2 linked regions of the Caenorhabditis elegans genome follow. The protein of the gene in region 1 purifies or fractionates together with the protein of each later gene. This does not show direct contact. Each region holds a gene or a part of one and is shown in the gene's direction. Other genes may lie near its edges. The genes, in order: cth-2 and cysl-1.

The links.
Region 2: the proteins of cth-2 (region 1) and cysl-1 fractionate together in Caenorhabditis elegans (co-fractionation; one large-scale study listed by BioGRID). This does not show direct contact.

What each region holds. Positions count from the first base shown.
Region 1 is NC_003280.10:7,055,684-7,059,893, reverse strand, and holds cth-2 (Putative cystathionine gamma-lyase 2), read left to right. Parts: upstream 1-1,933; 5' UTR 1,934-1,950; coding exon 1,951-2,025; intron 2,026-2,073; coding exon 2,074-2,695; intron 2,696-3,096; coding exon 3,097-3,578; 3' UTR 3,579-3,710; downstream 3,711-4,210. Other genes in the region: ZK1127.3 (EAF7 family protein), read right to left, coding at 3,846-3,968, 4,010-4,210.
Region 2 is NC_003284.9:9,951,888-9,956,244, reverse strand, and holds cysl-1 (Cysteine synthase 1), read left to right. Parts: upstream 1-1,711; coding exon 1,712-1,814; intron 1,815-2,095; coding exon 2,096-2,184; intron 2,185-2,236; coding exon 2,237-2,365; intron 2,366-2,519; coding exon 2,520-3,003; intron 3,004-3,071; coding exon 3,072-3,180; intron 3,181-3,344; coding exon 3,345-3,456; 3' UTR 3,457-3,666; downstream 3,667-4,357.

The sequences.
Region 1 (4,210 bases):
TTTACACCTTTGGTGAAAATTATTAATCTAGTTAGTTAATCTAGTTAATCTAAAATTATGGGTACTTATACATTTAAAAAATTAATTTTTCATTCAAGTAGCAAATTGGTAAAACCTGCTTTCTGATCACAAGCAATAAAATGTAAACCTACTGGTAGCAACTCTACCTATTTCTAAATCTAGAAGAAAATGCAATTGATCAATAAATTGAAACTTTCGCTTTCTTTTTCCTCCTCCTCCAAATTCAAGACTTCCTGCAAATGAAATGTCGTCTCAAATCTTATCTTTTCCACGCCAAGGTTGCCAATTAAAAAACACGTCACAATTATCATCATTTCTATGTATTCAATCCCTATCTGCCTCTTCCAAATGATATTTTGAACTTGAACTCTCTCCTTCTGGTGCCCTTTGTCCAACTGCTCGAGACACACATGTGGCTGGTTTGCAGTAGACACAACGAGAGAATGAGACAAATTCTTCTCTCTTTTTGATAACGAAAAAATGATACGAGACATAGAGAAATCGATGCTTTGAGGATTTGATTTCATCGACATGTTTCTCAAACAAAATACCACATGGTAGACCTCCACGTGGGGTGATTGGCACTGGAATTTGAACTTTTTGAAAAAAAAAACTGTAACATGTGATAAATATTATATCAACTAAACGAAGGAACAAAATAAACATTAAGATAGTGTTCAAACTGCACAATTACGTGATTTCAGTTAATTTAAAATTCCTTCAAGACTTTGGAAACTCTAATAGTAAGTCACGTCAAACTGTGTTATCTTTTGTTTCAAGATCGTCATTAGTAAATACATTTATGATTACTGACTTTCATAGTTTGTAAAAAAAAATAATTGCAGCAAGAACTCTTTGTGAACTTGAGCTGATACATTGTCATGATACTGTTGGCCTACTGTAGTTTGTATGCAGAGCCAGTGGAGATTTTCAAAAAAACTCATCTTATGGTGCTAAAATATAGAAATTTTTATACATCCTTAAATGTTTTCGGAAATTTCTATTATTTATACAACGTTGTAATTACTTAAGTTAGTTCTCTTCTATCCTTTTGGAAGTCGATCAAAATAACATTTTCCACGATTTTTAAGTTTTTACTATAAAAACAAATATTAGTAGGGAGGGATAGGGTCGGGGTACTGTAGGATTAATGTATTTTTGTAGAAACCTCTGTTTCTATTAAAATGTTTCTATTACTAGTATTAGGCCAATTCATGTTAAAAATTAAGATTCTGGTTCGTAGAATGTGACTTGACATTATACAATTCAAATTCCGAACTTTTCAAAAAATACTATAGAATTTACAAATATTCAGCTGTTCACGAAAAAACCATATTTGAGCAATAAAAATTGTTTTTAACCAACATATAAAAACACCACAGAATCCCCAGAAATGTCAAATTTATTACCAAACTTGTGCCAAATACATATTATTTTTTGAAGTATGAAAAATACGCCACCTATCAGTCGTTAATCTTATCTTTTATTTTTCAAATTTCTCAATTTCCCACGCTTCTTCTCATATCCGGTTTTTTCTGCAAAATGGTCTCGTTTGGAGATTTGATAAGAGTGTTTATTCCAGATGTGTACATCATTCAATAGTATCAAACATTGTTCATTCCTTCTTTGCACATCACTATTTATTTTTCTTCTTTTCTTCCGTTTTTAACATCTTGTTTGCCTAATCAGCTACATTCTGTAAAATCTAAAAATAATAGAAGATTAACGTCTTTTTGACCAATGTCAAGAACGTTTTTTTCTTTAACGATTTCATTGAAACTTTCGGCGTGTCGACCGACCCTTCGTTTGACCCCGCCCCTTTCATTCGTTCTTTTTTCTTTTCTCTCCTCTTTCTCTCACACTTATAAATCCATTTGATTATCATTTCTCGACATCAGTCTTCTTATTGCAGCCTGTCTCAAGATTAAAATGGCTACTTTCCCACACTTCGGAACTGCTGCTATCCACGTTGGACAAGAACCAGAGCAATGGGATATGAATCAGGTTTGTCATAGGTATTCTGAATATAAATACTGAACTGATACTTTTCAGGTGGTCCCGCCAATCAGCTTGTCCTCGACCTACAAACAGGATAATCCAGGAGAGCCAAAGGGACACGATTATTCTCGTGCTGGAAACCCAACTCGTGATGTTCTTCAAAAGAATCTGGCTGCTCTCGAAGACGCAAAACACTGCCAAGTGTTCTCTTCAGGACTTGCCGCAACTTCCGCAATCATCAATCTTCTCAAGTACGGAGATCATATTGTGTGCTCTGATGATGTCTACGGAGGTACTCAAAGATATATCCGCCGTGTTGCTGTTCCTAATCACGGATTGGAAGTCGATTCGGTTGATTTGACGGATGTTCAGAATCTCGAGAAAGCAATCAAACCAAATACCAAGATGGTTTGGTTTGAATCTCCATCTAACCCACTTTTGAAGGTTGTTGATATTGCCGCAGTGGTCCAAACTGCAAAGAAAGCCAATCCAGAAATTGTTGTAGTTGTTGATAATACCTTCATGTCTCCATACTTCCAACGCCCAATTTCTCTTGGAGCGGATGTTGTCGTTCATTCAATTACCAAGTATATTAATGGACATTCTGATGTTGTTATGGGTGCTGTTATCACTGATAATGACGAGTTCCAACAACATCTTTTCTTCATGCAACTTGGTTAGTTTACTGTGCTGTTGTACGCAGTGAAATCTAGTCGTATAATTTTGTCATTTTGAGGCATAGATACGGTAACCGGTCTTGAAGCTAGTGAAACTTGGCAGCTACTGTATTCGCAAGTGCTTCGAATTTTTTCTTAACGGTTTTCACTGAATTTCAATATTAATTTCTTCGTGTTTTTCTAGAAAAGAAATCAGTTTCTCTGCTTTAGAAATCATATAAAATACATTGGAACTATAAAAAAAATTGCTAAATACTTGTGGGTACTGTAGAAGCAAAGTTTCGCTCATATCGAGAACATGTACCTTGAGTCAAATGTCGCAAAATTATAAAACTGTTTAAAATCTCATTGGATAGCTAAATTAATCGTTAACTCAAAATTTTAATGCTATTATTTTCAGCCGTCGGAGCAGTCCCATCTCCATTTGATTGCTTCCTTGTTAATCGTGGACTCAAAACTCTTCACATCAGAATGAGAGCTCACTATGAAAATGCTCTTGCTGTTGCCAAATACCTTGAAGCCAATGATCGTATCGAATCAGTTCTCTATCCAGCTCTTCCATCTCATCCACAACATGAAGTTCATGAGAAACAAACAAAGGGAATGTCTGGAATGATCTCATTCTATCTTAAAGGAGAACTTCAAGAGAGTCGTGCTTTCCTTTCTGCTCTCAAAGTATTCACTTTGGCTGAATCTCTTGGAGGATATGAATCACTTGCCGAGCTTCCATCTATCATGACTCATGCTTCAGTGCCTGCTGAAACTCGAATTGTTCTTGGAATCACTGATAACCTTATCCGTATCTCTGTTGGAATTGAAGATCTCGATGATTTGGTTGCTGATTTGGATCAAGCTTTGAAGATTGCCATTCCAAAAGTATAACTTTTCAATCATTTTATGATATGCATTTGTTTCAAATCTGAAAGCCGGTACTAGTTTTAATTGCCCACTCGTCTCCACCACAACCTCTAACTAATCGACTCAAATTGTGTCTTACACTATCCAATAAATTTTTTCTATGAAAAATGATAATTGTTATTCGAAACAGAAATTGGAATACATAACATGATATTTTGCAATTGGTATATGAAAGAAAGGTACACATTGAATTATAATTAGATAGCGTAGAAGGAATCATAGAGAGATCATTTAAGTTTGAATGTCATAATTTTCATCTTCTTCTGTCAATCTTCTGGGGATGGTACTCTTCTTTTCCGACTCGACGATCCCGTTGTCTGTGTTTCTTTCTCTTTCTGCTCTCTTATCTGAAAGCTATGAACAAAAATAAGCAATATCTATTGTTTCAAAATTACCTCGCGCACTTCAGCCATGATATACTCGGGAAGTTCGTAATCGGTGACACTATTAAACTCGCTTGGATACGATTCATTTTCTTCACAGAATCTCAGACCGAACCATTTTTTGAGCTTATCTTCGATCATTTCAAGTGAAGGACGACACAAGTATTTAGGCGGATATGAAGTTCGTTCTGGGCGTCCTCCCATCAAGAGGTC
Region 2 (4,357 bases), on another chromosome or scaffold:
TATGAATGAAACAGCATGCGTGTGGAAATTGTTATTCAATTCATCGTTGTAATTTCATCAACAAAGAAATTAACAAAAATTGTCTCTGTTACCGCTTTTTAATTTATTTATCAACCTTGGTAGGTCTCCACAATCCAGTTTTGTTCTTTTCTTTTTATCGTTTGTGTTTTATATCTTTTTGCAAAAGATATAGAGATAAATGCATGCTCGACAGTATAATTCTTATATTCAACGTTTCTGGACGACGTGGGAATTTTCCCATGCTACTGATGAAGTCTGAAGTGCATAGAAGAAATAGCACGAGTGACCTTTTGCTTTCTGGACATTATTGCATGCAAACTACTACTTTTTGCTTACTTCACACTATTTCGACACTACTATTATTGGTTTTCTCAATCATCAAATGTGTTTTCAAAGAATTTTGAAACATATCCAGATAGAAACTGTAAAAAGGTCTAATGCTCTTTAAGAACTGCCGTTTTAAAATGATCAAAGTTTACTTTTTGAAGTAAATTCTGAAAACGCCTCGCGATATCGTGTAATTTGATCGTTTGTTCATTATATTTTTTATTAAGAAAACTCCCCATCACCTCCTATTTCATCCTTCTCGGAGTTTTCTTAGAAGAAAAAGAAAATGGAAAAAGCGTGTGAATGTTTCTATTAGATGACAGGAGATCCATTTTTTACATCCTTCAATTTTTGCAACAAGATTCCACTTCAAAGAATGAAATGTTTCATTAATAAGTGCAGTTTCAAAAGATCAAAATAATACCAGCCGGTTAGTTGTTGCATTTGCTATTTTTACAAAACAAGAACACTAAGTATATATCGAAACGTGCAAGTACTTTTCATTGGTTTAATCCGGTGAGTGGGGCGTTTTCGTGTTTTGTTTAACTCATGACTCATAAAGGTTATTCAGGATAAACTATTCCTAATTACCTATAATAGATGTACATGTAAATGCTTTTCCATGTTTGGAGTTTATCGTGCTTGATCTAGAAAATAACAATTTTTTGAAATAACTCTGTCTGAGTTCCTAAAAAGTTTAATTTATACTTTCGGGAAAAATACGAAGTGGTTTACCTTTTATCATCAAAAATGTCCCAGTTTCTAATAAATGGATATCATCTCTTCTTTTCCCATTGTAAATTTTCCAGCTCACCGACATTTGCATAATGCAATTATGTCATACTGAGCGGTTATTGTTGTTTTATTATCTTATCGTGGATTCATTCTCTCCTTACTTGCTCACTTCATTTTTATAAATCTGTCTCGTTGCAGCTGCTCTATAAGATACAACAACGGGATATTCTTCTATCTCTTGCTCGTTGTGTTGCGTGTTCTGTTTGTTTCCTCATTGCTTCCTTAGAATGTTCATTCAATGGCTCATTAGATGTGTGCCAACCTTTAAGAAATGCCAGCTGATTGTGCATTCGTTCCGCTACACAACATGTACTTAGACATGTGTCGTCTATCTCTCCCTATCTTATAACATTTTCTTTATCTCCTTATCTCCTTCTGTTTAAAAGTCCAACTATCATTTGGAGTTTGGTGTCAAAACCAGCAGAAACAGATGATAGAAAAATATTTTGTTTCCGTGCCAATAGTCATTGATAGTTTAAAATATTTCTTTCCTGTGATATAGTTTTCCCTTTTCTGCGTTCTCTCGTTATTGTCTACACTCTCATTTAACTCATAGTCGATGTTTCAGATGGCTGATCGCAACTCTATTGGCGAAAATGCTGCCGCGCTTATTGGCAACACACCCATGGTGTACATCAATAAATTGACAAAAGGACTTCCAGGGACAGTTGGTTGGTTTATTCATTTGAATTAAACGAAATCTTAAAAAATGTTTTGAACAATACTGGTGAAACTTTGAATTTTTTTGTTTCTTTTATGCAATACCACTGTAACCGAGTTTTGTAACTTCTCAACAAAATATAACTTTGACAAATAGTCTCACTTAAAAGAAAGTACGAAAAATAGTAAAACCAGAACGTAGATAAAATTGAATTTTACAAATCAAAAATGTTTTGAATTTTCAAGAAGAAACAAAAGTCCAATTATCCTATTATAATTTTCAAGTTTACAGCTGTAAAAATCGAATACATGAATCCAGCGGGATCGGTCAAAGATCGTATTGGAGCGGCAATGCTTGCAGCGGCCGAAAAAGATGGAACGGTGCTTCATCAACAATACCATTGTTCAAAAAATTGCATTAAAATTTTTTAAGGTGATCCCGGGAGTGACCACGCTCATTGAGCCAACATCAGGAAACACTGGAATCGCATTGGCTTTTGTTGCTGCCGCCAAGGGGTATAGATGTATTGTCACAATGCCAGCATCTATGAGTGGAGAACGCGTGAGTATTGATCTTATGGATGCAAATCTTCACCCCAGGAATTGCCAGTACTGAAACCTTTTTTTTTAGCTATTGAGTACAGTTGTGTCATCTGTGATTTTAAACAAATCTCCGGGTTGAAAATTTTTTAACATATAAAATATATATCTTACAGAGAACTCTTCTCAAAGCATATGGATCCGAGGTGGTCTTGACAGACCCAGCGAAAGGAATGAAAGGAGCGATTGACATGGCTAACCAGCTGAAGGAAAACATTCCAGGGTCTATCATTCTTGCTCAATTTGACAACCCAAATAATCCACTTGTTCACTATCAAACAACTGGACCAGAAATTTGGAGACAAACCAAAGGGACAGTAGACGCTGTTGTTTTTGGGGTTGGAACTGGTGGAACAATTACCGGAGTTGGCAGATACTTGCAAGAGCAGAATCCAGGTGTCCGCGTGTTTGCTGTGGAGCCAGAAGAATCCGCTATACTCAGCGGCAGACCAGCCGGTCCACACAAAATTCAAGGCATTGGAGCAGGGTTTGCTCCAGCTGTTTTGGACACAAAGATCTATGAAGACGTAATTCGAATTCATTCCGATGAGGCTATTGTCATGGCTCAAAGACTTTCCTATGAAGAAGGTCTTCTTGGCGGTAGGTTGTGTGACTGTGTTTGCTTTGATAGTTTGAAAGAAGTATGTTTTTAAAATTCTATATTTTAGGAATTTCCTCCGGAGCTAATGTTGCAGCTGCACTTCAGTTGGCTGCTCGCCCAGAAATGGCTGGAAAGCTCATTGTGACTTGTTTGCCAAGCTGTGGAGAACGATACATGTAAGATGACTGACTTAAAATGTTACTTGTGATGTGAGCTAGTAGTTTGCATCTGATTCCTCGGATGTTGAGTATTTCTGATAGAAAGTTAAACAACTATTGAATCTTTAACGTAGTAATCATGTACAATTTACTGTGATTGATCTTAAAAACCATTTTTCCAGGACCTCTCCTTTGTACACCGACATCCGCGAAAGCGCTATGGCTCTGGCAGTCGAAAGCTTGGAGGCAAACTTGAAGAAGTTATGTCTTCACAACTATGATATTATGGAGTGATTTAAATCAAAAATTCATCTCACTTTTTTCTTTTTTCTTTCATTTAAATTCTTTCACCCAAAAATTATCAAGGTTGTTACTCACTAAAAATGATAAATCGGCTGGTAATTCAATCAAAAAACCTACACATTATAATAATTTGCATTCTTTCGTATTTTTTCCATGTAAATGTTCCGCTGTCTATTTTTTCAATAAATGCAATTAGTGTTTTGTACTGTGATCTAAGATAGCTTGTATGCTTTGAACCCGCAGACACTAAGATTGGTGTTGAACTGACGAAACTGGGAGGATAACCGACTTTTTTAAAAACAATTAAACCATTAGCACAGTGAGGCATGAAATAGGCTTGTCGATGTCTCATGAAAAGGTCAGTGCAGATAGAAACACTGACCCTAATAAGGAGGAATGAAACCTGGTTTGGCTAATCGCCAGAAAAATTCTTTCACCGATAGTGGTGGCCAACGAGACAAACGCTGCATGTGGTTTCAAGCGAGAAGTTCAATTTAATTAGTAGTATGGATATTTAACGCGATCTTTATCAAATCGGAAAACTATACCACGGAGGTCTGGTTTGATGGTTTCACTATGAAATTATTTGAGCGGAAAGTTCACAGTTTTCTAGCTGACTCCTTTGAACATGTTCAGTTGAATTGACATAAACTTAAATGGTTCACGTACCCATCTTTTTGGAAAAGAGTAATGGAAAAGTTCTAGTAGCATATTTGCGAAATTAAAACAATCCTAATAAGGGCTACTGAATGATATTTCTGGTAATTTAAAAAGTTGAGAGCAACTGTATAAACCTTAAAAACAAACACTGGCATAGCGCAAATATTGTAGGAGGCAAGTCGTAAAAAGGGTTTCCTGTGATACTACAGTTTTACCACTACAAATTTTTTTC